Ovis aries: one gene and its partners. The main gene of each other region encodes a partner of the protein of the gene in region 7 in a complex. Links are inferred from orthologs where the notes say so. Each region holds a gene or a part of one and is shown on either strand. Other genes may lie near its edges.

Evidence for each region.
Region 1: CUL1 (region 7) and CCNF share a complex: the UniProt entries of both Homo sapiens proteins name them as parts of the SCF(CCNF) complex. The link is inferred for Ovis aries from reciprocal best matches to the Homo sapiens genes CUL1 and CCNF.
Region 2: CUL1 (region 7) and TRIM21 share a complex: the UniProt entries of both Homo sapiens proteins name them as parts of the SCF(SKP2)-like complex. The link is inferred for Ovis aries from reciprocal best matches to the Homo sapiens genes CUL1 and TRIM21.
Region 3: the proteins of CUL1 (region 7) and FBXL17 are in contact, whole or in part, in a cryo-EM structure (PDB 8UBT), measured with the Homo sapiens proteins. The link is inferred for Ovis aries from reciprocal best matches to the Homo sapiens genes CUL1 and FBXL17. Residues at the interface, in NP_001357589.1 of Homo sapiens: Thr54, His143, Arg147, Asp150, Glu151; in NP_001156787.2 of Homo sapiens: Pro325, Ser327, Leu330, Asp358, Phe359, Gln360, Asn387.
Region 4: the proteins of CUL1 (region 7) and CAND2 are in contact, whole or in part, in a cryo-EM structure (PDB 8VVY), measured with the Homo sapiens proteins. The link is inferred for Ovis aries from reciprocal best matches to the Homo sapiens genes CUL1 and CAND2. Residues at the interface, in NP_001357589.1 of Homo sapiens: Val31, Thr33, Arg34, Gln35, Met37, Lys39, Tyr42, Met111, Asp112, Trp123, Arg127, Phe128, Val132, Asn181, Leu184, Glu188, Gly193, Glu194, Thr195, Asn197, Thr198, Arg199, Ser202, Gln206, Val209, Glu210, Gly212, Leu213, Asn214, Lys221; in NP_001155971.1 of Homo sapiens: Asp21, Phe22, Phe24, Met25, Asn61, Gly62, Glu63, Gln65, Asn66, Leu67, Glu100, Gln101, Asp104, Asp156, Asp160, Leu189, Ala190, Lys193, Arg194, Glu276, Gln280, Asp343, Asp344, Trp349, Lys350, Arg353, Glu389, Ser492, Ser493, Thr494.
Region 5: CUL1 (region 7) and FBXO10 share a complex: the UniProt entries of both Homo sapiens proteins name them as parts of the SCF(FBXO10) complex. The link is inferred for Ovis aries from reciprocal best matches to the Homo sapiens genes CUL1 and FBXO10.
Region 6: CUL1 (region 7) and FBXO11 share a complex: the UniProt entries of both Homo sapiens proteins name them as parts of the SCF(FBXO11) complex. The link is inferred for Ovis aries from reciprocal best matches to the Homo sapiens genes CUL1 and FBXO11.

The regions. Positions count from the first base shown.
Region 1 is NC_056077.1:2,458,071-2,462,403, reverse strand, and holds the start of CCNF (cyclin-F), read right to left. Parts: upstream 2,809-4,333; 5' UTR 2,743-2,808; coding exon 2,727-2,742; intron 1,683-2,726; coding exon 1,528-1,682; intron 381-1,527; coding exon 274-380; intron 1-273. UniProt on the Homo sapiens protein: Substrate recognition component of a SCF (SKP1-CUL1-F-box protein) E3 ubiquitin-protein ligase complex which mediates the ubiquitination and subsequent proteasomal degradation of target proteins.
Region 2 is NC_056068.1:49,571,002-49,575,580, reverse strand, and holds the start of TRIM21 (E3 ubiquitin-protein ligase TRIM21), read right to left. Parts: upstream 2,968-4,579; 5' UTR 2,265-2,967; intron 2,228-2,264; exon of another isoform or gene 2,096-2,227; intron 1,600-2,095; 5' UTR 1,564-1,599; coding exon 1,156-1,563; intron 664-1,155; coding exon 568-663; intron 1-567. UniProt on the Homo sapiens protein: E3 ubiquitin-protein ligase whose activity is dependent on E2 enzymes, UBE2D1, UBE2D2, UBE2E1 and UBE2E2.
Region 3 is NC_056058.1:104,497,856-104,501,697, reverse strand, and holds part of FBXL17 (F-box/LRR-repeat protein 17), read left to right. Parts: intron 1-932; coding exon 933-1,075; intron 1,076-3,842. UniProt on the Homo sapiens protein: Substrate-recognition component of the SCF(FBXL17) E3 ubiquitin ligase complex, a key component of a quality control pathway required to ensure functional dimerization of BTB domain-containing proteins (dimerization quality control, DQC).
Region 4 is NC_056072.1:56,293,878-56,298,447, forward strand, and holds the end of CAND2 (cullin-associated NEDD8-dissociated protein 2), read right to left. Parts: intron 4,109-4,570; coding exon 3,944-4,108; intron 2,621-3,943; coding exon 2,513-2,620; intron 1,600-2,512; coding exon 1,372-1,599; 3' UTR 652-1,371; downstream 1-651. Other genes in the region: RPL32 (large ribosomal subunit protein eL32), read left to right, coding at 1-14.
Region 5 is NC_056055.1:51,222,852-51,226,693, reverse strand, and holds part of FBXO10 (F-box only protein 10), read right to left. Parts: intron 3,648-3,842; coding exon 3,511-3,647; intron 1-3,510. UniProt on the Homo sapiens protein: Substrate-recognition component of the SCF (SKP1-CUL1-F-box protein)-type E3 ubiquitin ligase complex. Mediates the ubiquitination and degradation of BCL2, an antiapoptotic protein, thereby playing a role in apoptosis by controlling the stability of BCL2.
Region 6 is NC_056056.1:76,631,428-76,635,269, reverse strand, and holds part of FBXO11 (F-box only protein 11), read right to left. Parts: intron 3,685-3,842; coding exon 3,557-3,684; intron 3,424-3,556; coding exon 3,339-3,423; intron 2,921-3,338; coding exon 2,776-2,920; intron 1-2,775. UniProt on the Homo sapiens protein: Substrate recognition component of a SCF (SKP1-CUL1-F-box protein) E3 ubiquitin-protein ligase complex which mediates the ubiquitination and subsequent proteasomal degradation of target proteins, such as DTL/CDT2, BCL6, SNAI1 and PRDM1/BLIMP1.
Region 7 is NC_056057.1:113,128,193-113,132,034, forward strand, and holds part of CUL1 (cullin-1), read left to right. Parts: coding exon 1-70; intron 71-3,442; coding exon 3,443-3,605; intron 3,606-3,842. UniProt on the Homo sapiens protein: Core component of multiple cullin-RING-based SCF (SKP1-CUL1-F-box protein) E3 ubiquitin-protein ligase complexes, which mediate the ubiquitination of proteins involved in cell cycle progression, signal transduction and transcription.

The DNA of each region.
Region 1 (4,333 bases), on a different chromosome or scaffold from region 7:
ATGGGTCACAGCCGAAGCGGACCTTCCGGAAGCACCACTGTGACTAATGAGTGGCAGGTCTGAGCTGGGGGTGCGGATGACCCATGACCATGCTAGAAGTCATGTGACTCGATGGGTGAGGTCTATATGCTCAGTCACTCCCTGGGGGATATGGTGTTGGCAGAGGCCTACAAGCAGAAGGAAAACCATGGCCAGGTCCAGCCCTGAGACAGACTGGCACGGCAGGGAAGGCCAGGAGTGAGAGGAAGCCCGGCTGCTCTTGGGTGCAGATACCTTTCAAAGAGCTTCAGGTTCCCCGGAGAAGGCCACAGCTCCTGGAAGCTGGCGCATGCCCACACGCTGGCATGGTTGTCCACCAGGTACTTCAGGTGGGAATGTACCTGAGGAACAACAGGAGTGGGGTGGGGGGTTATCAAGGGACTACAGGGAAGGCCCACTTCTGGAGCTGTTGAAGACAGGGTTAGACAGACATAGGATCTCCTGTCTCCCTCTGACCCTACCAGTAAGGCCTCCTGGGCTCTGTGTATCAAACTAACTAGCAGTTGCTTTGAACAGAGAAAAGAAATCAGACACAACTTTCTCTGTGGTTCTAAAGGTGGGGACAGGTCCTGGAAGTGGGGGTAAGCACCAGGCTGAGAAACAGGATATAATGCTATATACTTGCAACGACCAGGGAAACCGACTCTAGGGCTAACGGGTAGGTCAGAAATCTGTTTTGCTAGTGGGAGCACAGCTGGAATCTGGGCGGTCAACGGGGGCACTAGCAAGCATTTTAAGTGCAAAAGCTCCCACTGCCATTGGAAATGGCACTTGCAGATGTTATGAACACAATGGAGGCAGGTTTGGGAGTCAGACAAATGGGTTCTTGTGGGTGTTCCCCCACTAATTTGCTGGATGCCCTTGGTTAAGTGGCTCAGGGTGAGGCTGCAGTTCTGATGTCTGCACAATAAAGCCCAGAGCCCCTTTCAGCACTGGATATTATATGAGATTTGTCCTCATAAGGGCTTCCCTGGTGACTCAGACAGTAAAGAATCTGCCTGCAATACAGGAGGCCAAGGTTCAATCCCTGGGTCAGGACGATCCCCTGGAGAAGGAAATGGCTACCTACTCCAGTATTCTTGCCTGGAGAATCCCATGGACAGAGGAGCCTGGTGGGCTACAGTCCATGGGGTCACAGAGTTGAACACAACTGAACAACTAACACTTCTACTTCACACCATCTTCAAGAACATACTCTTTTTCTTCTTAACACTCTCCCGTATCTTGAGGGATTCAAATTTCACTGCCAGGAAAAGGTACTTTCTCTGTTAAAATAAACACTGCAAAGAGCGGACTCAAACCTTGCTGTCCTATGTTTTTGCTTTCCTGTCGTCAGAACAACCTCAAACGTCTACTTGCCAACATCACCGTTGGGGATCATCTACCCTCATCGGTAGCCAGAGTTTTTGTTCTGACATTTGAGACATGAAGCCTTCGTGGTAAAATCAACAATGCCAGGGTTGACACTGTGTTCATCTGACAACTTACAGCTCGGACAGCGAGGATATCTCCAACAGAAAGCCATTTCAGGATATGAAAGAGCGCATCTTCAGGGAGATTCAAGATTGTGAGGTTTCGAGGTCTCCTCCTTATTCTCCGCTTTGAAGGATAACAGAAACACTTGGCACACCTACAGTGGATCACTTAAGAAAACAAATCAGAATGGTTTAAGTGATGTGTTGGAAATGAACTGTGATATGAAAAGTTACATCTGAACATGTTTTAACAGTTACTGGTCCTCTGCCCCAGCCATAGTTACAGTCCCAAAGATTAAATAAAGAAGCCGTAGTGGTATAAGAGACATCTTCATTCATTCAAATTATTCGATAAATGTTTACAGTGAGTAGTAATCATGTAAGCTGGCCATTGGGAAACCGTCTGACCCAGAGCCCAGATAACAACGAGGAAGAAAGGAAGAGCAGACAGTGTTGATGATGATTAGCCAGGGAGACGCCTGGACTCTAGCTGATTTCTTTGCTTCTATTTGCACACATGACTAAAACATGAAATGTTAATAAGGATTTGAACAATCAGGTTTTCCAGTTCAAATTCAGAGGGTCCACCCTGCAGAGAAGCCAAGGGTGGACTTGGAGGGCAGGCCAGTCCCAGCTCTGTGGATGTCAGAGCTGTCCCGCCGGTCTCAGGGTCCTCTGAGACCCTGACAGGGGGGTCCTTCCAACTTAAGCTCCAGCAACTCTTTCCTCCCTCCAAGCAGAGGAGCTTGTGGCAGAAGGTGCCATTCCTGACGCTTCACCCGGTTCTTCATCCGCTCCTTCCTCCAGTCCCCACGGGAGGTGGCTGCTCCACCACCGGGCAAGCTCCCTGCTCAGGGCGTCTTCCTGCCCTCTCCCCTCGTTCCTCACCCGGGCTTCCCATCAGTAATTAACCTAATGCGAAAGCCGAGCGCATACGCAGCTCGACCAATCCTCGCCTTTTGCCCTATTATCCTCACTCCCTTGCCCTAGGACAGCCACGGTATAACCACGGAAATTCCTCGGCGGCGCTCACGGCCCTGCACAGGTGGTGGTCCCCTCGCGCCGCTTTCTCGCGGAGCTGGGCGCCGCTGGGTATTTAAACCGCGCGCCGGGTAGGCGCCGTCGGGACGATCCGAACCCCGGGCTGAAAGGCTCAAGCGGGCCCCACTCAGTCTGGAGGCCACTCCACCGCGCCCCGCGCCCCGCGCTCACCGCCTCCGCTCCCCATAGCCGTCGTCGCTGCCGTGGCCGCCGCCGCCGCTGTAGCCGCCAGACCCGCCCGCGGGCCCAGAGCGCGCCTCCCCACGCAGGCGCAGACCCGCCTGCCTCCCGCCTGAGTTTTCAAACGCGCCGGGCGTTCCCATTGGCCCACCACGGGGGGCGAGCGCCACTACCCCACCGGGCTCCGCCCCGAGCCACGCCCCCTCGGCATCGGGCGCCCGCGACTGGCTGCTCCAGGATGCGAATTCGAACGCCGGCTGTTGATTGGTGGAACCTGCGCGGCCGCCCCGCCTCCCAAGCACTGGCTGGGGTCTGAAGGAGCGCGGCTCCGGGGCAGTCGGCAGTGGAATTCCTGGTTTCCCTCCGAGCCGCGTTGACCTGCCCTATTCTGGGATTCGGCCTTGCCGCTGAGTCGGCGGCAGAGATCCCGGCGACCAGAGCCCATGGCGCACAGTGGGTTGTCAGTGAAGGTCTGAGCGGACCGGCAGCGCTTCCGAGCCAGGGGTCTCTGAGCGCGGACCCCGACGCGGTCTTCGACCTGCGTGGACGCAGGCGAGCGGGCCCCCGCGGGAGGCACCTCACCAAGGCTGCCCCCTGACCTTAGTGGCCTGCACCCTGAGGCCGAAGGCCCTGCCTCCCGTCCTTGCTTCAGGCGAGGAGACCCTTGGTTCTGTCCGTGCCGCTGTTGGTATAGATCGCAGGGCAGAAACAGGCCTGGGTGATTCATTCAGCGCGTCTGACTCCTTCCCTTGAAACGCGGCTCAGCCTGGACCCCTCCATCCCTCCCAGGGCAAACCCTCAGCGTGTCACCTGGGCCTTGTCAGTCTTCACCATCTCCTCGCGGTCAATTGGGAGCCCACTAAAACAGAAGAGCACGCCTGCTTGCTTTAGTGGCTGCAACACTCCGTTCACCCAGGTATTAGGCAGTGCCCACCCGGCCTTGTCTTTCAGGAACCAGCTCTCACCCCACCTCCTCCGTGAGACATTCTGACAAGGAAAGAAATGCAACTTCTGGGAGAAGTGCTTGATGGCCAAGGACATAGTGGTTTTTCCCAGAGAAGCCAGGGAATCTGGGTCAAGGCTCTCTTCTTACACTCTTCCCAAGGCATCAAACTGCTCTGTGCCCACACCCCTCACTCACACTGCTGTCTGAACTCCATCAGGGTACTGGTTCTGTGCTCAACAGCTGAACACACACAGGACCCAAGGTGCCAAGCCTCCAAGCCAGTCTGGAGTAGGAGACAAGTGAACAGATGATCACAGCGTGGCTATGAGGTTCCAGGGGTGAGGAGGTGGGGGTGGTGCGTGCAGAAGAGGAGTGGGTAGAGCAGAGCAAGCCTGGGGCCTGCTCCAACCCGAGGGGCGGGTCCTCCAGGCCTGCAGGCTTTCAGCCTTTCTCACACACCTGTGTTCCTACTGGCTAGAGCTTCCTGTTTGGTACTTTCTGTCCACCCCCCTCTCCCCCCCCCCCCCCCCCCCCCCCCCGTTAACTTTTTTGCTAGACTCCTCCAGGCAGAGGCCCTGGCTCTGAGCAGTCACAGGAAGTCATAGGAAAGAGGGGTGGGTGTGCAGCCAGACGTGGGGGTGGGAAGTAGGGC
Region 2 (4,579 bases), on a different chromosome or scaffold from region 7:
TCCGACTCTGTGAATCTATGGGCTGTAGCCCGCCAGGCTCCTTTGTCCATGGGATTCTCCAGGCAAGAATACTGGAGTGGGTAGCCATTCCCTTCTTCAGGGGATCTTCCCAATCCAGGGACTGAACCCAGGTCTCCAATACTGCAGGCAGATTCTTTACCATCTGAGCCACTAGGGAAGCCCATCTTAGGCCTTTATGGTTCACTTAAATCTGGTTCTCATAGTCACTGTCATTTCTTGACAACTTGTCATTTCTTGACATTGGGCATCTCTCCTGGCATTCCCCTGTCCCAAACTCTGAGGCCATCTCCAGAGACTGGGCTGTCATCTCCAGAGACTGGGCTCAAGAAGCAGGAGCATTAGAATATATCTTGTCCCTCAGCACCTTTTCCTAAGACTCTCTCTCCATCTGACTGGGAGCTCTTTTTGATCTCCACACTCTTTTAATCCCCTCCATCAAGAGACCTATGGGGCAGCTGGTTCTTGGGGAGTGAGATATAGGGACTGGCATAGCTGGACCCTCCCCAGGCTTCAGATCTAAGATTCCCTTCAGGATATGACTCTTGCCTTAAAGGATGCTTTCTTCATTGCAATGTCCAATTCCAGCTTCTCAGCCATCTCCTGCTTATCTCTTAGTTTCTTTAGTGCCACCTGAAGCTTTTCCTGCAGAGAACGAAAGCAAGATGATACCCAGTCAGGTCAAGAAGTAGGGTGCAGTGGTGTGAAGTGGGGGGAAGATCATACTGGTTCTTAGAAGAGGCTGAGTGCAGAGGACAAGGAAGGACTAGAGTCTGTTTGGGGTAGGAACTCTGTGGATGGGAAGGTTTTGGAAAAAGCCTGATATTTCTTACAAAATAGGGCCACACGGTTGGTGTACAAAGGGTGGGGGCACTGCTTGTTCCTAATTAAGCAGGAGGCCACAAGGGAAGAAGATTCTTGAAGCATTTTCCCATAGCACATCCCTGCTCTGTGAGAATGAGAAAACTGTGCTGAGCTTGCCATTTCCCCCTTAAATAAGACATAGAAGGCAGGAGACCCCTATTCTTTCCCCAGCCCCACAGGTAACTCTCTCCCATTTCCAGCTCTGGGGAACAAAGCCATCAACAGGGCCCCATCTCCTTTTTACCTGTTCCTGCCTCTGTGCTGAGGACTCACCTGGTACTCCTGAGCAGCCTCCTCAATAGGGACCATGGGATGATCACGGTGTTTCTGGGACTGGGAACACACCCAGCAAAGGGCCTTCCCATCTGCCTCACAGAAGAGGTGAATTTTCTCTCTGTGCACCACACACAGCTCCCCGTGTGGGCCCTCCTTGGCACCCTGGCTGATTTTCCTAAGGTTGTCCACCATGTTGGCTACCTGTCGATTGGGCCGGAGATTCTGGAGCAGGAAGTGGCGCCGGCACACAGGACAGACGCTACCTCCTTCTTTCCCGACCTCAGAGATGCACTCCTGGCAGAAGCTATGACCACATTCAATGCTCATAGGCTCCACCATGGGATCCAGGCAGATAGAGCACGTGACCTCCTCCCACATCATTGTCAAGGGTACGGCTGAAGCCATTGGGGTGATGCTCCTCTTCGGTAGTGCTGGGGAGATCTTGCGGTGAGGGGAGAAGAGGAAAGGGACGGAAGAGAAGAGCCAGGTAAGAAAAGGGAACCACGAGAGAGGGTGAACTGGAGGGAGTGAAAACAAGAAAAGACAAGGACCTCAACCTGAATAGTGCTCCTCTTCCATAGTCTGGGTCACTGATCCAGTCAGACAGAAGGGGACACTGAGTCCCCAAGAGATAGCAAATATTGTTGAGAACCTGAGAGACAGCTGCTTACAATTCGACTTTCATCATGTTCATCTCTGCTTAACCGCTCAGAGTCCAGGCTTTACCTATTGATCTTCTGCCTCAGGCCACTGGTTTTCTACTCTGTTGAGAAGCTAATCTTAACAGTAGCGACCATTGACTGTGCTCGTTCCATGTGCCAGGTGCTACATGCTTCACATACATTCTCATTAATCTTTGCAATAGGCAGGAGTTATTGGTATCTATCTAATCATCGGTAACATGAATATATATAAGAATATTTATATTTATGCTTACATATTTTCATAAGGATACACGTATATCCGTAAGTACATGGGCTTCCTAGGTGGTGCAAGTGGCAAAGAATCCACCTGCTAATGCAGGAGACACAGGAGACAGCAGGTTTGATCCCTGAGTTGGGAAGATCCCCTGGGGAAGGAAATGGCAACCCACTTCAGTATCTTACCTGGGAAATCCCGTGGACAGAGGAGCCTGGCGGCCTACATACAGTCCATGGGGTCGCAAAGAGTCAGACACGACTGAGCACACACACACACGCATATGTATATGTGTGTATATATGTATGTGCATACACACAGAAGCGTGAGGTTTATTAAGAACTTCCTGGGCTCTTCTCTCAGCTACCCTGAACCTGGCCCCGCCTTTGTTTCTTCTAGGGCGCAGACCCATAGTTTTCTAATATCCTAAGCAACCCTGTCTCTCTCACCTCCAGAGGGAGCCTTTTGGGGACAGCAGTCTCAGGGATCGCGGACCTACCCCCACACCGGGCTCCCGGACCACCCCTGAGCTAGGTTGCCATCCTGGTTCTCCCAGTTTCCCTGGTTTTTCTTCCCAGCTCAGGTGCCGGCGGAAGCAGAGCAATCCGAGCTCCTTCCAGGGGACATCCCAGTCAGGTTTACAGCCCAGCCTCCTCCCAGGCTGCAGGGGAAAAACTGCTGGGTTAAGGTTGAGGGAGACCTGTTGCGAAAGAAAACCTGAGATCGAAATCTCTAGGGGTGGGGACGGCTTGGATGAGGCACTTCAGACCTGGGGCAGGGGAGAGAGGTCCCCTAGGGAGAGCTGGGGTACCTCGGTCTAGCCAAGTTCACTCACCTTTTCAAGAGACGCAGTGGATGGCAGCCGTTTCCTTATTTCACTTTCGATTCCTTGTCCACCGCAAATCTGAAAGGGAGGCGGGCAGAGCGGGAGGAGAGTGGGCGGGGCCAAGGGAGGAGGAAGGCGGAGGGGTTGAGGTGCCGCCAGAGTCTGGAGCTTCTGGGAGGCTGGGGCGAGCGAAAGCTCCGCAGCCTTTAGTCCTTGCTTTGCGTTCCCTCCCGTGTCCTCATTGTGTAATAGAGTGAAGCATCGTATCTGCTGCGTGGAGGAGCCATGCAGGCCTACGTGCTGTGCCCTCGTGTGGGAGCTGCTTTAAAGGAGGTTTGGATGGACAGGGGTGCCTGGAGGTCTCCTCTAAAGGCCATCTTCTGTTCCCTATTTCCAAAAACAATTCCTTTTCAGGAGACTTGATATTCTTTTAACATCAGGGGGAGAGCAATTTATTCCACAGTACCTCAGCGCATTATCACACCAGTGAGTGGTAAGAAGGGACTTGACATTTATTGAGGCAACAACTGTGTACTTATCCTTGAGCCAGGGACTTTCTCAGGTTGTTTTATTATTATTTTAAATTATGGTGAAGTACGTATAACATTTACCATCTTAACCGTTTTCAAGTGTGTAGTTCAGTGGCATTAAATACGTTCACAGTTGTATACTTCACCACAGTCCATGGAGTCTCAAAGGGTCGGACACAACTGAGCCACTAAGCACAAGAACGGAGAAGGCAAGGGCACCCCACTCCAGGACTCTTGCCTGGAAAATACGAGGGACAGAGGAATCTGGAAGGCTGCAGTCCATGGGGTCGCTGAGGGTCGGACACGACTGAGCGACTTCTTTCACTTTTCACTTTCATGCATCAGAGAAGGAAATGGCAACCCACTCCAGTGTTCTTGCCAGGAGAATCCCAGGGGCAGCTTGATGGGCTGCTGTCTATGGGGTCGCACAGAGTCGGACACGAGTGAAGCGACTTAGCAGCAGCAGCAGCAGCAGCAAGCACAAGAAACCTCAAAGAGCCAGGGAGTAGTGGCAAATTCCTATTTATAAGAATCAGAGTTTTTACTCTGGTGGAAGAACTTCTTTCTTTACTAGACCCTTAGAACAAGGCTGAGCCCTGTGTTGGGGGATGGAAAGAAAATGATCTGTAAATGAGTTACTAGTTTGAGGGAAATAGGAGCTGCAACCACCTCCCTTCTTTATTCTCTGAAGAGTGTGTTTATAATGGCTATAAAAAATACCATCACCTATTAGTTGTTGATCTTAGATGTGCACCAGAATTTATGGTACAACATTCTTATATCATAGAGTGGGGTTTCCAAACTGCTGCCATACCTGAGCCTTCAGCAGTGCATCTCATATTTTTATTGGACCATCTTTTTCTGGTTGATGATGTACATTGTAAGACCACTGCATTCCATAGTGCAACCCCATTATCAGAATTTTTTGACTGTAAAATCAGTTTCTTGGTTGTAAGTGATGTTGTTGGAGACCTTGATGTTGTAAATCGAAAAACAGTGGTGCTGGTAGAAGCAATATAAGATGGCAAATGAATCTGTCTCTGGTATAGTAGCTATTTTGTGAGGATAAATTGCTGTTGGTTCAATGTCATTATCATGCCACTAAAAGACTGCCTAGATTCTCTTAGAAATAGGGAAAAATCAGGCT
Region 3 (3,842 bases), on a different chromosome or scaffold from region 7:
TTTTCCTCTACACACCAATGCACCGTAAACGTTGTCTGGCTGGAGGTCTTGAAATCTGTTTTGCTGTGCTGCAAACGTAGAGGTGTGTGTGTTTCACTAGAAGCCTGTAGCCAAGAGCCACATTCGCCGACTGGATGCTCTGACGGGGTGACAGGTTATGGAGCCCTGCAGTGATGTGTGGTGTACATCACAGACTGTGGGATAAACCTCTGTGCGTCCGTAGAGGTACAGGGCTGAACAGCCAAGCAGACTAGGGGCAGGGGTAGTGTTTGTGTGACCGGCTTCATCCCCTGTGTCAATAAGAGGAAGACTTCCGATACAGTGCGGACATCCACCATAACAAATGCTAGCGCCAGCTAAATTCAACTGTGTGTATAATGTCCTCTGAATTCCCAGCTGTCTCAAGAAGGACTAATGTGAAAGATGTTATATGCTCTTACATTTTATAGATCATGAACAGATGGGGGGAAAGTGTGCCAATTGGTAAAGAAATTCATATGCAGAATAACACACCTCAAAATGGTGTTTCGAAGGTTTTTCTTTTTTAAAATTATTAAATTTATCTTGGATAAAATTTAATTACTCCTTGGGGGTTTCCTGTAATATTATATGCGTAATTCATTTGAGTTTATGCCCTCTACAGATATGAATGTTTGGAAGTACAGGTAACCTTGTAATGAATAAAACTGATAAAAGGTTGTGTTCCAATAAAAGGGAAATTATGGAATGATTATTCACTTTGTGAAAGGCTCTGTCATAGGGCACACTTTCCTAAAGCATTTTAAATTGGATTACATTTAGGAAACATTCGTTTATACACAACATTTCAGGAACAAATGTAGTGAGGAAATGAGAGAACTACTCATAATAAGATAGAGATCCCTTCCGCTGCTGACGTTTGTGCTTCCTGTCTTCTCTGCCTCCCCTCGCAGCTCTGATAGCCATCGGGCGATACAGCATGACAATAGAGACTGTGGACGTCGGCTGGTGCAAAGAGATCACGGACCAAGGGGCCACCCTGATTGCACAGAGCAGCAAGTCTTTAAGATACTTGGGGCTGATGAGATGTGATAAAGTGAGTTGCCTGTCGACCTTCTTTCCTACGTATCCGTGTCGTTTACAGCTTGATATTAGATTTTTCTTCACTACCTGGGTATATATATGTACACATGCACGTACTTATGTTATTACAGGTATGCATGGGAAGCTGCCTGGTTTTCTAAACTAATCTGAGATGATTTTTGAATATCTCTGTTTAAAAATGAATGTTTGTGCTTATGCAGAAAGAAAACAGCAGTCACACACACACTTAACTTAGATTTTGGCTTCCTGTCCGCAAGTCCACGGACCACGATTAAGTGTGTTTGCGTGGCACACTGCAGTGCGTGTGGCTTAACAGTGAAATTCCACTCAGGTTCCAAGTTTCCTGCAGCAGTAAGTTGGAAGGCCCGCTGCCAGATGATGCTGCCGCAGTCTGAAGTGCTCACTGCTCAGCGTCTTTGTGTTCTGCCCCTCAGGGGGGCAAGAAAGGGCCAGTGAGGCAACATTAGTTGGGAATCCCCACACTGCAGATGCTGCTTTTCACACATGTCGAGAAGCGGTCCCAGAGGCCCCACCGATGGTCAGTGGAGCTGGCCAGAGGCATGAGCCTGAGTTTGAGAAGTCGGGCTGCGTTTAATAAAGATGATCAGAAGCTGCACTGATAACCAGGCATTGGAGACGCACTTTCCCCTTTGTCTCTTTTACGTTTTCCTGGTAACAAATCTAGGAGATGGTCTGTGCTGCGAAGGGGAGAAAACGGAGCTCAGAAGGACCAGACACTGGCCCCATGCCCCCCATCCAGGGTGGCACCCCAGATCTTCAAGCCTATGGCCAGTGCCCAGGGCCCACCGCAGGGACTGTCTCCAGAGAAGGGGGTGCTTCCTTGGAAAAGACCCACCTCAGCTACTCGCTCTGAAAATGTTGGCAGCTTGTAACAATTTATACACGTGTGCTGCTTTTTGTGATTGGTGATTAGGCACAATGTAGCAAAAGAGCCTGAAGCTAAATATATATGCCTCTCAAAGGACATGCAGTTTCTAAATGTAGCAAATTGGGGACAAATAAGAATGGCCCAAATTCTCTGTGCGCTTTGTCAGTTTTGTTAATTGACCTAGTTCTTTTTTCCAGATGTTTTACAATCCCAGCTTATACCAGACCTTTCCAGTTAGTCATGATTAGAGAGACTTTATATACTCAGCCCAGCCTAGAAAGCTGACTGAGTTTATTACTGAGCAACAGCGGAGAGCCCGGGGTGGCAAGTCTCTCTTAAATTTCACCACTAACTAACTTAACACTGCTACTAACCCTGTCACTTCGAAATGATTCCTTTTAAAACAAGTGAGAGTCCATAGCAGGCAGAGTGTTCTAGAAACCCCGAACAGTGACAGCAGAACTCTTCGGCTTCTGCCCGAAGGAATCGCTGCGCACAAACTGCCTGCGCAAGGGCAGGAAGAGGTGAGCATTCACAGCCGGGCCCCTGCGCCCACAGCCATTCACAGCCGGGTCCCTGCGCCCACAGACATTCCCAGCCGGGCCCCTGCACCCACAGACATTCCCAGCCGGGCCCCTGCGCCCACAGCCATTCACAGCCGGGTCCCTGCGCCCACAGCCATTCACAGCCGGGCCCCTGCGCCCACAGCCATTCCCAGCCGGGCCCCTGCGCCCACAGCCATTCACAGCCGGGCCCCTGCGCCCACAGCCATTCCCAGCCGGGCCCCTGCGCCCACAGCCATTCACAGCCGGGTCCCTGCGCCCACAGCCATTCACAGCCGGGTCCCTGCGCCCACAGCCATTCCCAGCCGGGCCCCTGCGCCCACAGCCATTCCCAGCCGGGCCCCTGCGCCCACAGCCATTCACAGCCGGGTCCCTGCGCCCACAGCCATTCACAGCCGGGTCCCTGCACCCACAGACATTCCCAGCCGGGCCCCTGCGCCCACAGCCATTCCCAGCCGGGCCCCTGCGCCCACAGCCATTCCCAGCCGGGCCCCTGCGCCCACAGCCATTCACAGCCGGGTCCCTGCGCCCACAGCCATTCACAGCCGGGTCCCTGCGCCCACAGCCATTCCCAGCCGGGCCCCTGCGCCCACAGCCATTCACAGCCGGGTCCCTGCGCCCACAGCCATTCCCAGCCGGGCCCCTGCGCCCACAGCCATTCCCAGCCGGGCCCCTGCGCCCACAGCCATTCACAGCCGGGCCCCTGCGCCCACAGCCATTCACAGCCGGGTCCCTGCGCCCACAGCCATTCCCAGCCGGGCCCCTGCGCCCACAGCCATTCACAGCCGGGCCCCTGCGCCCACAGCCATTCACAGCCGGGTCCCTGCGCCCACAGCCATTCACAGCTGGGTCCCTGCGCCCACAGCCTCTGGCGGAGGCCACCGTGTTTCTAGTCCAGACTCTAGACCTGTTGAGATCAGCACCCTCTTTGGAGCTGAATTTGGTACTCCAGTTAGTTAAGAAGATCCTTTCAGATGTATTTGCTGACTAGCATTTTGCCAATTTTCAGTAAGTGGAAGGATCCTTTTCTGCATAAATGCAAATTCGTCCAAAGTAGGGCTGTCACAATCCAGCCCACTGTCACCAGCCCAGCCCTGCCAGCCAGCGTCCTCAGGCTTAAGGCAGTTCAGGGCCAAACGCGGGAGGTTCTGTGCGGACGGAAGAAGTTTCCAAACCACACCCAAAGCACACATAGAACCTCGCGCTTAAAAGCCTGCTGGTTGACTAAGTCAGTAAGTGTTAGTCGCTCCGTCGTGCCCAGCTCTTTGCAGCCCCATGGACGGTAGCCCACCAGGCTCCTCTGTCCA
Region 4 (4,570 bases), on a different chromosome or scaffold from region 7:
AGGAAAACGAATAGACGGCTCGCGTGCACATTTTGTTTGTGGTAATAAAAGCATAAAACCCGACCATCTGGCATCTCTCCCTTGGTTCTTACTCTTCAGGATGACAGCTCGCCTCAGATTGGTCTTCTGCCTGTTCTGCTCTCTGGAACCTTCTGTTAGGAAGGGGTGTTTGTAAAGGACCCATGATCTGCTCAGACCAGGGTAGGTTCTGAGACCCAGATGGAAGGACCTTGCACTTGGAGCAGGTAGTCATTTTTAGCCTCACTGTGTAAAGTTAGAACAGAAGTCACCCCGTGTGGTTCTTAGGAAGACTGAGGACAGTCGGGTTTCCCTTCTAGCTGCAGCCGTAGATCTCAGGCAGCAACAGCTGGAGTTCAGCTGTTCCATGAAGTTTTATGAACCATTTTTCCAACACATGGTTTAAGCAGCACAGGTCACGTGGGACAGGGCATGTCGCACTCTGGCACAGGACTGGGTTTAAATCCCATAGTTCTAGTAGATGGATGTCTCAGATTGACTGGGTCCTGTTCAAAACCTAATCTGACAAAACATTTGTTGAGTAAATTATTGGTCATTTCATTTCTCTGAAAGACTTGGGAAGCATTCTGACCGTCTTAACTACTGAGAAGAGGAATTGTGCAGAGAAAATAATGGTGATTCAGGATCTGTCCTTTATTGACCTGGGATGGCAGAAAATTCTTTGGCCTGACATTTACTGTTTCTGTGTCCTTGATACTAAAAAGTAAAGAGGACGGTTCACAAACCACCGGGTGACATATTTGCCGATTTGCTACATAAGAGTCTGGGGATTAGAAAAAAAATTACATCTTATTTCCTACCCAACCCACCTGGCCTTGCAAAACTGTAAAGCATTTTGGATTCTAAAGTGTGAAGAGCTCATAGAGGTATCTTGAGTTTTTCAGATGCCCAGCCAAAGCACTACTTTTTGGCAGATCAGAACAGGTGAAATAGAGAAAGGGGAGCAGGGGAGTGACGATGTCTGGGACAGCGGCAGGGAGGAAGGCCGGCCCCCTGCCTCCTGTGAGCACGAGGGTATTTCTAAAGACTGAACACTATGAGCAGGGACCCCTGGCTGGAGGGAGCCAGGCTAACCTGTGTGAAGTCACATCCATCTTTGTAGGAGGCCTGGAAGGACTACCACGCCCCCTCTGAATGACTGTCCTGAGTTAAAGGGCCCAACTGTTGGCAGCTCTGACAGAGCCTCTGAGTTGGGGTCCCTAGAGAAGGTGCTGGAAGCCCCGAGCAGGAGATGGAGAAAGGGCAGGAGTAGAGGCCTGCAGTGGTAGGGTGAGGCTCTGGCTTTGACTCTGGTGGGCCTCCCTACATGTTGGGGTAACCAGGGGGTGGGTGTTAGCTGAGTTCCATGGAGTCTGTGCTGGGAGCCGAAACAGAATCTTTCTGGATGCTTTCAAAGAGGGCAGCCAGCTCGGGGTTGGATCGAATTTGGGAGGAGAAGTCAGCCATGATGGGGCTCTTGCCCACTTCCGGGATGGTCAGCAGGGTGGCCACTGCCCTCATGGCCGAGCGCTTCAGTTCGTCTTGCTTCTCAAACTCCTGTTTCACAGAACCAGCTTTGACCTAAAGTGGAAATGATGAGCTGGTCACCTGTCATCTTCCCCAGCTCATGCCCCATCTCCTAGCTTCATTTACAGTGCTTAAAGTAGGCTCTCGGCACCGCTGGACTTGATGAATGGCTTGTTCTGACAGCCTGCTAGCTGACCCCTTCCCGCCACTCAAGTGCAACCCGTCCTGCTTACCAGCCCAAAGTTGGCTTGCCTGCCTTCTGTTGCCTTATCCCCACCTCGCCCGCCTATTCAGAGACTCTCAGGAATTTCCCTGCTGTTTATGGAATCAAGTCCAGGTTCCTGGTCTGCTCTCAGGACACTCCGTGACTCAACCCAGACGACACTCAGGCTCTTCCTGGTAGAGGTTAAGAGCTTGGCATTGGGGCTGGGCAGTGCTGGATTCAAATGGCTCTGCCCTTTTCTTGGTTAATTTGAACCCTTCCAAAACCCAAATTAGTTCTTGCATTTGGCAGGCATTTATTGGGTCCCCCTGGGTGTGACAGGCTCTTCTCAACGCGCAGCTTTCCGTGAGCCTTCTGCCCCAGGTCCTCCCTGGACCCTGAGGCACTCCAGGGTAACTGCCCACTAGCTAGCAATCAACCAGCAATTTCTAAGTGTCTGACTCAGTTTCCCCATTAGGATGTGAGAGGAGGGAGTCCACCGTGTTTAGTATTGCATGCCTGGTGGTACCCTGCACAAGGCCGGACACGAGCTAGGTTTGAATACCAGCTTTGCAAGTTACTGTGTAACCTGTCAGTAACCTCTCTGAACATTTGTTCTGTGTATAGAATGGTAAGAATAAGACAATGATAAGGACTGAAAGTGTTTCACATACCACCTGTATCTCCAGAGATTCTCGGTAAATGGTAACTGAACCATCTGCAGGGGACCTGGCAGGTACACCCAGAGCTGGGCAGGAGGCTTACCTTGGCAGTGCAGGTGGCCCTGAGGGGCTCGATGAGCCGGTCCACCCTCTGCAGGACGGGCACAGGACACAGGGTAGCCAGTCGGGCAAGCATGATGAAGGTTAGCATCTGACCGGGTGAAGGAGACAGTTCTTGGTGAAATAGCCCAGGACCGAAAAGAGCAGGCCCTGGGGGAGAGCAGAGGGGTGGACCTGACCCCCGGAACTCAGGTCCAAAGTAGCAGCCGGCCTGCCTGTCACCCTGATCTCCTCTGGCGCTCACCAAATACTGGCTGACTAAGGAATGCTTCTGTGCGTTTGCCCAGCAAACACAGATTTACAACTCCGGCTCTTAAGTGTGTGGAACTTTTGGGTGATTACCACTCCATTTATTCACTTTTGTATTGTCTAAACAAACACAATTAATGACTTGTCTTACATTGGTTTTTCATTACAAAAGGGATTCATGCTCATTGTATATATATTAAAAAGCTCCAAGAGGACAGAAGGTGAAAGCGGTCTGCCCCACAGGTAATAAAATGGCCAAAGTTTCACAACTCACTCTCCACCTGACAGTAGGTCTGGGCCACCTTCCACGCCAGCCCACAGTGTCAGGATCCCGTGACGGGAGGCACCCAGTGCACTGAGCCAACTCCCGGTGAGCATTTCCCAACTCCCAGAGAGCTGTGGAGAACCACCTCCCGCCTAAACCCTTGGAACGTATGTTTAGGGGTCAGTTCGTGGAGTGAATTTCACATTTTGAAATGTGCCTAGGGCTTCCCTGGCGGCTCGGTGGTGCAGAAGCCACCTGCCAGCGCAGGAGACACGGGTTCATTCCCTGGTGTGGGAAGAGTCCGCATGCCGCAGCGCAAGTAACCGGAGCTACAGCCACCAAGCCTGCGTTCCAGAGCCTGGAGCCACAGCCACTGAGCCTGTTCTCTAGAGCCCCGGAGCTGTGAGTACCCTACACTCTGTGCCCCACAACGCGAGAAGTCACCGCAATGAGAAGCCACACGCTCTAACCAGAAAGTAGCCTCCGCACGCCGCAACTAGAGAAAAGCTCGTGAAGCAACGAAGACCCAGGACAGCCACAAATAAATCAAGCGATAAATACATAAAGCGTTTCTAAGTTCTACTTTTTTGTAGTTCTGGCCAAACCAACCTCCCAAGGCCTTGCCCACTCCCACCAAAGGTGTGAGAACTGGGTTCTTACTGGAAAAGAACAAAGCAGGGGACTTCCCTGGTGGTCCAGTGGTTAAGACTTGGCCTTCCAGTGCAGGGGGTGGGCATGGGCACTGATCGGGGCACTAAGATCCCACATGCCATACTGTGCAGCCAAAAGTAAAAGAGAACAAAGCAACTACTCTCGTGGGGGTGCCTGGGGCGGGCGTGGGGGAGCCTGGGGCGGGCGTGGGGGACAGACGGGCAGTGGGTCCGGCGGGGGTCCTCCTACCCGGATGTCGTAGTGGTCCTTCAAGCCGTCCTCCACGTGGTTCAGGAACTCGCAGACATCCAGCTGGCCCAAGCAGCTCTCCAGCAGTGAGTACATGCACTCGAAGGCCGCCTTCCGCACATCCAGCCCATCGTCCACCGTGTGCTTAAAGGGCCCCATCTCCACCTGCAGGAGGGAGGGTGAGAGGAAAACAGGCTGAGGGCTGTGACCCCGGGGCATGGAGGACACCTCCCCAGGCTCCTGCTGTGCACCGCTCCCTCTCTCATTCAGTACTGTGTCCTGTCCCCAAATCATGCCTTAGACTCCAGTCTCCACGCCTGTGCTCAGCCTGCGACGCCTTTTTATAATGATAATAGTAATGTTCTAATGATAATTATAATCCACTGATCAGGTTTGCTCTGCCAGGCACTGTGCTGTCATCAGTCCCAGGAAGACTGTTACTATAAACTCCGTTTAATATATGAGGAAACTAAGGCTCAGAAATGTTAACTTGCCCAAGGAGACGAGCCCAAGTTAGTAAGTGGTTCAATCAGAATTAAAAATCCAGGTCTCTTTGACGTCACAACCACAAGGGTTTGCTTGTAATGGTAAACTCTACTCACCCCTCAAAGCCCACTTCAAATGCCT
Region 5 (3,842 bases), on a different chromosome or scaffold from region 7:
CAGATGCACTCCCTGGGCTCAGGCAAACCTCATTCATATTTCCGAGAGCTGCGCCATGGAAGCAAATGCATGCGTGTTATACTTTTAACACAAATCTCACTTACTTTCAGAAAGAATCCATGGCCCCTTGGAGAAACATGTATGTGTGTGTACATAGGGTAGGCAGAACAAAGAAAAGAGACATCAGAAAACATGAGGAAAAGGGGACAGAGCATTGTTCCAAGGACCAAGGGTGGTGTATTAACACAGTTTGAGTCCTGTGCTTCCTTGCAGCCAAGGCAAAAAACAAAAACAAAAAACCATAGGTTATGTAACTCTTACCAGCAAAAAAATATGCTCAATGGCTTGCCTTATTGAGGTCACATCAGGGACCTTGAAATTCAGGGACCTCCCACAAATCCCTGTCCTCCATCACAAAGAAACATAAAGGAAAAAAGCACAACCTAATTCTCTCAAAGCGACTGTTTTATTCAAAAATACTTTTTACTGAAGTCTATTCGATTTATAATGTTGTGCCAATCTCCGCTGTATAGCAAAGTGACTTACTTATACACATATAGACATTCTTTTTCATATTCTTTTCCATGATAGTTTATCACAGGATAGGATATTGAATATAGTTCCCTGTGCTATACAGTAGGACCTTGTTGTTTATTCATTCTGCATATAGTAGTTTACATCTAAATCCAGAATTGTTTTTAGTGGGGGAGGCTCTTGGCTTGCGGGATCTTTGTCAACAAAGGTCTTCAGCAGTAAGAGCATGGAGTCCTAACCACTGGATCACCAGAGAATTCCCTCAAAGTGACTGTTTTAAAAAGCCTAAAATAAAATAAAATAACAACAACCACCACGAAAAAGCCAAGACACTGATCTGCTTGTAATATTCCTTGCTCGAAACCCTTTAACAGCTCCCCAGCACCCACAAGGTTTGGGTATATGGCTGCAGTAAGTAATTATCATAAACTTGGTGGTTTAGAACAATACGAATTTATTATCTTCCAGTTTAGGAGGTGAGAAGTCCAAAATGGGTCTGACAGGGCTAAATCAAGGTGCCAGTAGACCTGCCTTTTTTCTGGAGACTCGGAAAGGATCTGTCTCTGACCTTTCCAGATCCTAGAGGCGGCTCAGGCTTCCTGGTCTGTGGCCTCACTCCTCTGGCCTTGCCTCTGTTGACACATTTCCTTCTCTGACTCTCCTGTTCTCTCTTCTAAGGACGCTGTGATTACACTGGGCCCACTTGGATCACCCAGGTGCTCTCCCCATCTCAGCACCCTTAACTGAGCCACATCTGCAGAGTCTCTTCTGCCTTGCAGACAGTCTATACACAGGTTCCAAGGATTAGAAAGTGGATAGATTTGGGGGGCCATTATTCTACCTACCACACGTGGTATTCGAGTTCCTCCATGCTCCAGCATCAACCCTACTTTGTAGGCTGACCTTATGCCCAGACATACCACACTTTTCCCACCACTTTCCCAGGTCATACTCCAAATTTCACTGCCCCAGGCTTGTAATGCCTTTCTGAGGCCATAAAATCCTACTTGTCCTTCAGTAAAAGTAAAGTGTTAGTCGCTTAGTCACATCCAACTCTTTGCAACCCCACAGACTGTAGCCTGCCAGGCTCCTCTGTCCATGGAATTTTCCAGCCAAGAATACTGGAGTGGGTTGCCATTCCCAGGGCATCTTCCTGACCCAGGGATTGAACCTGGGTCTCCTACATTGCAGGCAGATTCTTTACCATCTGAGCACTGCTCAAATGTCAGTGCCCCATGTGCCCTGTCCTGACTCAGTGGCAATCATGACTGGTTTTCTTCTGTACCTGCATGAAGACCTATAAAAATGCTCACTTTAGTGAGTCCTTCCCTTATAGCTCCCATCTGTAGAATGACAGTGAACACTTCACAGAACAGAGACTGTTCATACACCTTTATACTGCTAACCCCCTTATATGGAGGAAACACCTAAATGTGTGTTTAATGAATAATATGCACACATACAAACCCATACTCTTAAGGCAGTAACGTAAAAGATGGGTAAACAGCTCCATAATCACGTGATCACTAATTGTTTTTAGTAAGCTGCCTACTGGAGAAGGAAATGGCACCCCACTCCAGTATTCTTGCCTGGGAAATCCCATGGACAGAGGAGTCTGGTGGGCTACAGTCCATGGGGTAGAAAAAGAGTCGGACATGACTTAGTGACTAAACAACAAACAAAAACAAGCTGCCTACAATAGTGAAAAAATAGAAGCCTAACAGTAATAGGACTGGTTCAAAAATGAGGGAGTATCAAAACAACGGAATGTTCTGAAACTGACCAAAGTGATAAATACAAGATCCTGCAACAACATGGAAAAGTACACACAGGATAATGCAGGGAAAAACTCTCAGAATATATTTGCTGCACAGTAATTCCAGTTATTTTTGTAAAGTGCAGACATAACATGTGAGTCTTCCACTCAAAACCTTTAGTGATCCCCCCTTATCTAGACAGAATAAACTCCACCTTTCCCACTGGACTACATAAGGCCTTCCTCATCTGGCCCAAGGCTTTCTAGCACACTGCCTGGCAGAGATGGACTGCCACGGGGATATAAACACTCAGGCTGCAGTGACCACAGGACCCAAGATGATCCAGGACAGTCCCAATTTGAGATGTTTTACAGCAATGTCACAACTTGTGTGAGGCTTTTTCTCAAGCCCCAGAGGACTGCGTGCTCCCTGACTCTGCTATGTTCGGCTGCCTCTGCTCACACCACTTCCTTCTCTAGGAGCGTCTACTCCCCAGCTCCACGAGGGGCCAAGCCCTACCTGTATTTCAAAGTCTTAACACCAATGCCAGCTCCCAAATGAGGCCCCCCACAGCCCCCTCATCAGAATAACTCCCCCTCTCGGTACCACTTTGACAGCATTTATCACAGCCTGCACCACGTGATGGGTGGGAGGGCAGATCCACAGCCCCACTACCTACAGCTTACACCAGTGATGGATCACGGCATGCTTCCATGCTGAGGTCAGATGTAGCCTCCAATCTTAACACAGCATCCCACATAGCCACCAGCAACTGATCAGAGTCGTCAAGTGAGTTGAAATCTCTATGCCATATAGGATAATAATGCTAAGATAGGACTCAGCATTATTTCTGGACACACATGTCCTTTTCCAGACTAGAGTAAGCTCTGAGGGAGGAAAGTCTGCCTGGTTTACCTTTGTTATCATTATTAGAAGTGCCCAATAATTCTTGCTGAATAGAATGGCCCCACATAATTAACTGGAAGGGAACACAGACACAAAGGCACAGAACACAGATAATATAACACAGAAGGCTGTGTTACTGAGGTGGGATTGTGGGTGAAGTCTGTCTCTTCTCTGCTTGCATGTATACAGTTGCTTTAGTAAACAAAAATGGTTTCCAATGAAGCAAAGACAGGAAGCAGGGAACCAGAGATGAAAGAAGAAGAAAGGGACCATGGGTGAGCAGGGTGGTCTGAGTACAGAGGCATGTACATACCTCACGACTGGATTTCCATGGTACAGGATGTAAATGCCAGCCTCCTTGTTTGAAAAGATTTGATTGTTCCGGATGATGCCTTTCCCATTGCCCAGGACAACAATGCCAGAGCGAAGGCCGTGGTGGATCTGGTTACACTGCAGGTGAACAGGAGACACCACAGAAGGCAGATGAGACATGCCGGTGAGCAGCAGAGGGCTCAGTGCTGCCCCACGGCAGGGCCAGGATGCAATAGCAGAAGAAAACATGTCACTGCGGGATCCCAAGCACAAAACAAAGGGAATGGACTGGGGGTGGCCCTGCCTCTCTGCACAGGTGCACACATGGATACC
Region 6 (3,842 bases), on a different chromosome or scaffold from region 7:
AAATACAACTGTCCAAACTCTTTTCTAAAAGCGATATACAAAATCTACATTCTTACTGAACTATTAGCTGTTTTAAATTAGACTTAGTTCGGTTTCTAAAAACCAATGGAATGAAAAGCATTCTCCAAAATCACTCAGTAGCTTTTAACTGACAAATAGCAGAAAAAGTACTTCCTTTATTGTTTTAAATAAGTACTCAGATGGTGGCTCAGATGATAAAGCGTCTGCCTACAATGCGAACCTGGGAACCCAGAGACCCAGGTTCAATCCCCGGGTCAGGAAGATCTCCTGGAGAACGAAGTAGCAACTCACTCCAGTATTCTTGCCTGGAAAAATCCATGGACTGAGGAGCCTGACAGGCTACAGCCCATGGGGTCACAAAGAGTTAGACATGACTGAGTGACTTCACTTTCTTTCTTATAGTTTTAAAAACTGCCTGGACTGATAACCAACATTTGTGATAAACAGGTAACTGGGAAAGGAAAGATATATCCATTTGAATGCAGAGTTCCAAAAAACAGCAAGGAGAGATAAGAAAGCCTTCCTCAGTGATCAGTGCAAAGAAATACAGGAAAACAACAGAATGGGAAAGACTAGAGATCTGTTCAAGAAAATTAAGGATACCAAAGGAACATTTCATGCGAAGATGGACACAATAAAGGACAGAAATGGTATGGACCCAACAGAAGCAGAAGATATTATTAACAGAAGAACTATACAAAAAGATCTTCATGACCCTGATAACCATGATGTTGTGATCACTCATCTACAGCCAGACATCCTGGAACGCCAAGTCAAGTGGGCCTTAGGAAGCATCACTATGAACAAAGCTAGTGGAGGTGATAGGATTCCAGTTGAGCTATTTCAAATCCTAAAAGATGACGCTATGAAAGTGCCACACTCAATATGCCAGCAAATCTGGAAAACTCAGCAGTGGCCACAGGACTGGAAAAGGTCAGTTTTCATGCCAATCCCAAAGAAAGGCTATGCCAAACAATGTTCAAACTACCGCACAACTGCACTCATCTCACATGCTAGCAAAGTAATGCTCAAAATTCTCCAAGCCAGGCTTCAACAATACAAGAACCATGAACTTCCAGTGATGTTCAAGCTGGATTTAGAAAAGGCAGAGGAACAAAGGCAGAGAGAGATGGGAATACTAGAGTATTTGACCTGCCTCCTGAGAAATCTGTATGCAGATCAAGAAGCATCAGTTAGAACCGGACATCAAACAACAGACTGGTTCCAAATCGGGAAAGGAGTATGTCAAGGCAGTATATTGCCACCCTGCTTATTTAACTTATATACAGAGTACATCATGCAAAATGCTGGGCTGGATAAAGCACAAGCTGGCATCAAGATTGATGGGAGAAATATCAATAACCTCAGATATGCAGCTGATACCACTTTAATGGCAGAAAGCAAAGAGGACTCTTGATGAGGGTGAAAGAGAGTGAAAAAGCTGGCTCAAAACTCAACAGTGAAAAAGTTAAGATCATGGCACCCAGTCCTATCACTTCATGGCAAATTGATGGGGAAACAATGGAAACAGTGAGAGACTTTATTCTGAGGGGCTCCAGACTGCAGCCATGAAATTAAAAGACACTTACTCCTTGGAAGGAAAGTTATGACCAACCTAGACAGCATATTAAAAAGCAGAGATATTACTTTGCCAACAAAAGTCTGTCTAGTCAAGGCTCTGGTTTTTCCAGTAGTCATGTATGGATATGAGAGTTGGACTATAAAGAAAGCTGAGCACTGAAGAATTGATGCTTTTGAACTGTGGTGTTGGAGAAGACTCTTGAGAGTCCCTTGGACTGCAAGGAGATCCAACCAGACCATCCTAAAGGAGATCAGTCCTGGGTGTTCAATGGAAGGACCAACATACTTTGGCCACCTGAAGGGAAGAGCTGACTCATTTGAAAAGACCCTGATGCTGGGAAAGATTGAGGGCAGGAGGAGAAGGGGACGACAGAGGATGAGATGGCTGGGTGGCATCACTGACTCAATGGACAGGAGTTTGGGTAGGCTCAGGGAGTTGGTGTTGGACAGGGAGGCCTGGTGTGCTGCACTTCATGAAGTCGCAAAGAGTCGGACACAACTGAGCAGCTAAACTGAACTGAAAACCACTGCCGATGGTGACTGCAGCCATGAAATTAAAAAAGCAGAGACATTATTTTACCAACAAAGGTCCATTTAGTCAAAGCTATGGTTTTTCCAGTAGTCATGTATGGATGTGAGAGGTGGGCTATAAGGAAAGCCAAGTGTCGAGAATTGATGCTTTTGAACTGTGGTGTTGGAGAAGCCTCTTGGGAGTCCCTTGAACTGCAAGGAGATCCAACCAGTCCATCCTAAAGGAAATCAGTCCTGAATATTCATTGCAAGGACTGATGCTGAAGCTGAAACTCCAATACTTTGGCTACCTGATGGGAAGAACAGATTTACTGGAAAAGACCCTGATGCTGGGAAAGACTGAAGGCGAGAGAAGAAGGGGATGACAGAGGATGAGATGGTTGGATGGTATCACTGAGGCAATGGACATGAATTTGAGTAGGCTCCAGGAGTTGGTGATGGACAGGGAAGCCTGAAGTGCTGCAGTCCATAGGGTCACAGGGTTGGACTCGACTGAGCGACTGAACTGGAATTTATAAATATTCTAATTTTCTTCTATTTAACTGTAACCATCAACTCACACTCCAGCCTTCCTACCATCCTTTAGCATTTGGGGCAGTAAGTAATATATCTCAAGATACTAAGAAATAAATTTTCACTTACCATAAAATTGGATCATTAGCAAGTTCACTGAAGCGTTTACACACACAAGCTGCTCTACAAAGATCCTGTTCCAGCAAATACGAGAAGATTTTTAGAACCACTTCATCTGGCAGTTTCTCCTGAAGATACTGTTCAGCAGGTGCTGCTATAAAAAGATTAACAAACAGAACATAATCTGTCATGCTACCAAAGGCTTTCTCATTATTTAAAGAGCACAATTTTCATTTTGTTAAATGAAGAGCTTTTATTTTTTGATGACTATTATTTTATAAGCATGTGCTTTCAGAGATGACACATATTTCTTTTCTTTTCTCTTAACAGTATTCTTTTTTTTAGCTAGTATGTACCATTTCAGTAATTGGTTACAATAAATATACAAAAAATATTTTTATACAACAATTACAGTCAAAGATGGAGAAGGTCAGGGTTCTCAGGTTTATTCTGTAACTATTGCTTTCTCAATCTCAAATGTGTAAATAAACACTTAATTTTAACTTTCTGTTATCAAACAAAATTTAAAAGAACTATTTGACCCTATTCCTTAACTTTCTCAAAGGAAATACCTGATAGATCTTGTGATTTTCCAGAAACTCTTGCACGTTTTGCACGATGACCAAAAAAGTTTTCTGTAGTTGAAGTTGAAGCACCCTTCAAAAACAAAATGAAAACTAGTTAAGCATGTATTTTTACCCATAATCATTACTTCTAAAAAATGATGACAGTCCTGTTTGTTTCCTAACAATTCTTTCATTATACACACAAAAACAGACATTTAACCTACCTCCATACTGCTCTTTGTAGGACACGCTGTTCTTTTTGGCAAAAGAGTTTTCCTACGAAGTTGGTATGGACTATTTTGTGCACCAGGACCGGATTCTTCTGCAACCATATCTGCAGGTACATCATCATCTGTTATAAACAAAAATAATATGAAAATGACACCCATTAAAAAAAAAAAGCCCTATGGATTCAGTAAACTTACAAAAGACTTTGTAATATATATATATTTTTTTGGGGGGGGTACAGTTTTTATACAAAATTCCAGTCATCTGGATAACCATTTGAGA
Region 7 (3,842 bases):
AGAAAGATTTTATACCAGAGAGAGCACCGAATTCTTGCAGCAGAACCCGGTTACTGAATATATGAAAAAGGTAAGCTTAAACATACTTAGAGTAGGGTTAAGTTAAAAGTTCCTGCTGCTCAAGTAAATTACTCTTTTTATGCTTATATATGCAGCTTCCTTCAAAGTCATGTCTTGGGCACTGTTAACCGGTAGTGTTTGTAGCAGGTGCAAATGGTTTCTCCCCACTCACTAAGGAGCTTGTATAAATTAACTTAATAATCGTGGCTCATGTTCTCCTACTGTGTGGAGGATGTAACTGTTACAGCTGAATGACATACGTGTTTGAACACTCTCTCCTAGAATGTACAGGTGTATCTAATGGCAGCCACCGTCTTACATCAGTGAAAAAATAGTATTTGAAGAAACAAATTTTTATCTGCAAACTTTAAGCTTTTTACTTTTTTGCTTCTGAGATCTCTCCTAAAAATCTATTTAACACAACCTTCCAGTGTGTATTAGAGAAGTCCTTCTGAAAGAACAGGATTGAAATTTTAGATGAGAAGACTGGGGATTGGTCTCTGCATCATGAATCTTCTACATCAAGTGATGTCACAGTACAGTTCTGCGGGAGGTATTCTAGCTTCCCTTCTCGGAAATACCGGTGTCCCAGACTTAAGCTCAGAGGAGTGACCTCAGTCAGGGGTCAGCAGACTTTCCTTGAAGGGCCAGATGGTAAATACTTTAGACCTCGTGCACACGTGGTCTCGTCTGCAACCGTTCAGCTCTGCATTATGGCACAAAAGCAGCCGTGGCAACATCGAAACTGTGCTCCAGTGCAAGTTTCCTTCCAGCAGAACTTTGCCCCCAGGCAATAGTTTGCCAACCCCTGACCTCAACGGGCAAGGAGACTTCCAGGGGGTCCGGGGCTGTGTGTCGGACACCCGCTTCTCCCTTTAGTCTCTGTTCACTTGGAGGGCAGAGTCACTGCAGAGTCACTTTCTCCATGTGCTGAGACCAGAAGTCAAGGAGAGCAACAGCTCCCCTGTCTAACCACATAAAGTCCTCCTCAGTTTGTCCATGACGTTCCTAGAACATTTTCCCATAAGAGATAGTAATTGTAAGTGGGCCTTACAAGTCTGAAGTTAAAAGTCCTTGACAGATGAGTCCTTCAAAACCTAACAGAAGTGGAACCCCACAGAACTATTACACTTGGGAAAGTGATAGTTCTTTGTGTATTTACGAGTTAAGTTAGCTTTCATGTGCCAGTCTGGAAGCTAACCAGCTTATTGAGAGTTGAAACAGCTGCTTGACCAATCAGTTTTAAATCTAAGCACTGATTTTTACAGTGTAGTTTTCATAAACATATCTTTTATTGAACTGTACAATATATGGTAAGTCTTTTAAAACTGTATATGTTTTTTAAAAGTGTAGCCTTTTATCAGGATACAGATCCACACGTGTGGTTCAGGCCTTTTCATTTCATGGACTTCTTCGTGAATTGCAGTTACCTGCTGTCCACACCGAGGAAGGTGGTAGTGCTTTGGTGCATGGAAATCCGCTTTATAGACGTATGGTTTCAACCCAGTCTGAGCCCTGCCTTCAAGGGAGAATGTGCTACCTGCATCCTGGCCATCTTAAATGGGGTTTCTTGGGTTAATGGTTTGGCCCAAATCTGGTTGGGTCTTAGCAAACATGACAGCCATTCCATTTGAAAAATCCACCATGTAGAGATTCTGTGGGCTTAAAATTGGAATTTAACTGTCTGAACAATGCTACTGTTACTACTAGCTGTAGACTTGCATCTCAAACTGGGCTATGTGTCTAATTGAAAATCCCCACTCCACCATTTACTAAGGGTGACTTTAACCCCCTAGTAAATGGTGGTTAAAGTCTGTTCCTCAGTTTCCTCATCTGTAAAATGGGGATATTTTACCATCGTCATCATCATCATTATTATGTATTATTTGATGTTTGGCCATGAGTATGCATCAAAACCTCCAGTGTATGCCTGATAGTACACAGGATAAAATATGGAACATTTTATTCTATAACTTGAGAAAATATGTTTATATTCGAACACTATTAGGAAGTAAAATACAAAACTCATGAACAGTTTTGAGATAAAACATCAACTTTCAAGAACTACTCTCCTTTTAGCAGCTCGTTTAGGCTAGATGTACAGATTCTCTGGGGTCTGTGTTCCTTTTTCTTGCATTGTCCTTCAGAGGAAACAGTTGAGAGTCTGTGCTTCCCTGCTACTGATGGTGTCGGGGGAACAAGCCTCAGCCACGTTAGTTTCAGTGTATCTTACTCTCTGTCTCTTGTGATTGAGTCTGTGGTGAGCCTTCAAAGAATACTTGACCTTTCTAGGTTTCTAATATCATTTTTTTAAGTTTTAAAAACAAAATATATGTTATGAATTTGCTGACTGCTTTTTGATCCATTTTTTCATTTTGTTTTTCCTGTATACTGATCCTAATAGAATTAATAGAGACAGTCTTTGCTTAATTTTATTTAGTCCTTTTGAATTTGTACTCTGATATAATTGTCTGCCAAGGACAGTGGTGATCACGAGCTTATTTACCGTCAAATCAACAGAGAATGTAGATCACTGTCCCTCCTAAAACCTAATGACTTCATACCCAGGAGTTTGGGTTTGTTGGTTTCCCTGGTCATGAAGTCTGTGAAATGTGGAGAATGGCATTATGTCTGAAAAAAAACAATGTACATACCTTAATTTGAAAATGCTTTATTGCTAAATTATGCCAAAACAATTATAATAGCAACATCAAAGATCACTGACCAAGGGTCAGCTTAACAAATAATAATAATGAAAAGTTTAAATATTTTGAGAATAACGGAAATGCAGCACAGACACACAGAGTGAGCACCTGTTCTTGGAAGAATGGTGCTGACAGCCTTGCACAACTAGGGTCACCACAGACCTTTAGTTCCTATTTCAAAGCAAAAACCAGTGCCAGAGCACAGTGAAAGGAGGCTGGCCTGTGGTCGGTAGTCCTCCCTTGTTCACGGTTTCAGTCACCCACAGTCAGCCTCTCTCTGACAATATGGAATGAGAAGTTCCAGAAATAAACAGTCTGTAAGTCTTAAATTGCAGAGTATCGATAAGGGTATTACCCTCGAAAGTGTGAAACAGCACGTATCTGTAGGAAGGAGATTGATATAAAGACATTCGGATGGTTAATCATGATAACCTCGTTGAAGTCATTTGAAGAGGACTTGGAAACAAAGATACAGGTTACAGAGGAAGTGGTGCGCACCGGGGACTGGTTATTGTGGTTAGCATTCCCTCCCCACCCCAGCCTGAGTCAAAGGACCCCTTCCCTCCTCTTGTTTTCTTCCTCATACTAGGTAGGGCAGGATTGCGAGTTGAATTTGTCATTGGTTTTGTTTTAAAAAGACACAAGTCCAAACTGTTGACCTGAGCTCACTCCCGCAGGCGGAGGCTCGTCTGCTGGAGGAGCAGCGCAGGGTCCAGGTGTACCTTCACGAGAGCACGCAGGACGAGCTCGCCAGGAAGTGCGAGCAGGTGCTCATCGAGAAGCACCTGGAGATCTTCCACACAGAGTTCCAGAACCTGCTGGACGCCGACAAAAACGAGGGTGAGCCGCGGAGATTCGGAGCGCGTGGATGTTGATTACGATCTGTGATCATGAAGTTGTGTGAAGGTCTAGACTCAGAGTTAGCGCTACCACACCAGCCATTCTTTAAGAGGGCTGTGTGTGTGTGTACCTTGCGGTGTGTTGATCTCAGATCTCTGTAGCGTGTTTTGGGTATGACTTTTTAGGAAGAACATCTTTTCAGTTTGATGTGGAGTCTTGACTTCTTCCATACACTTT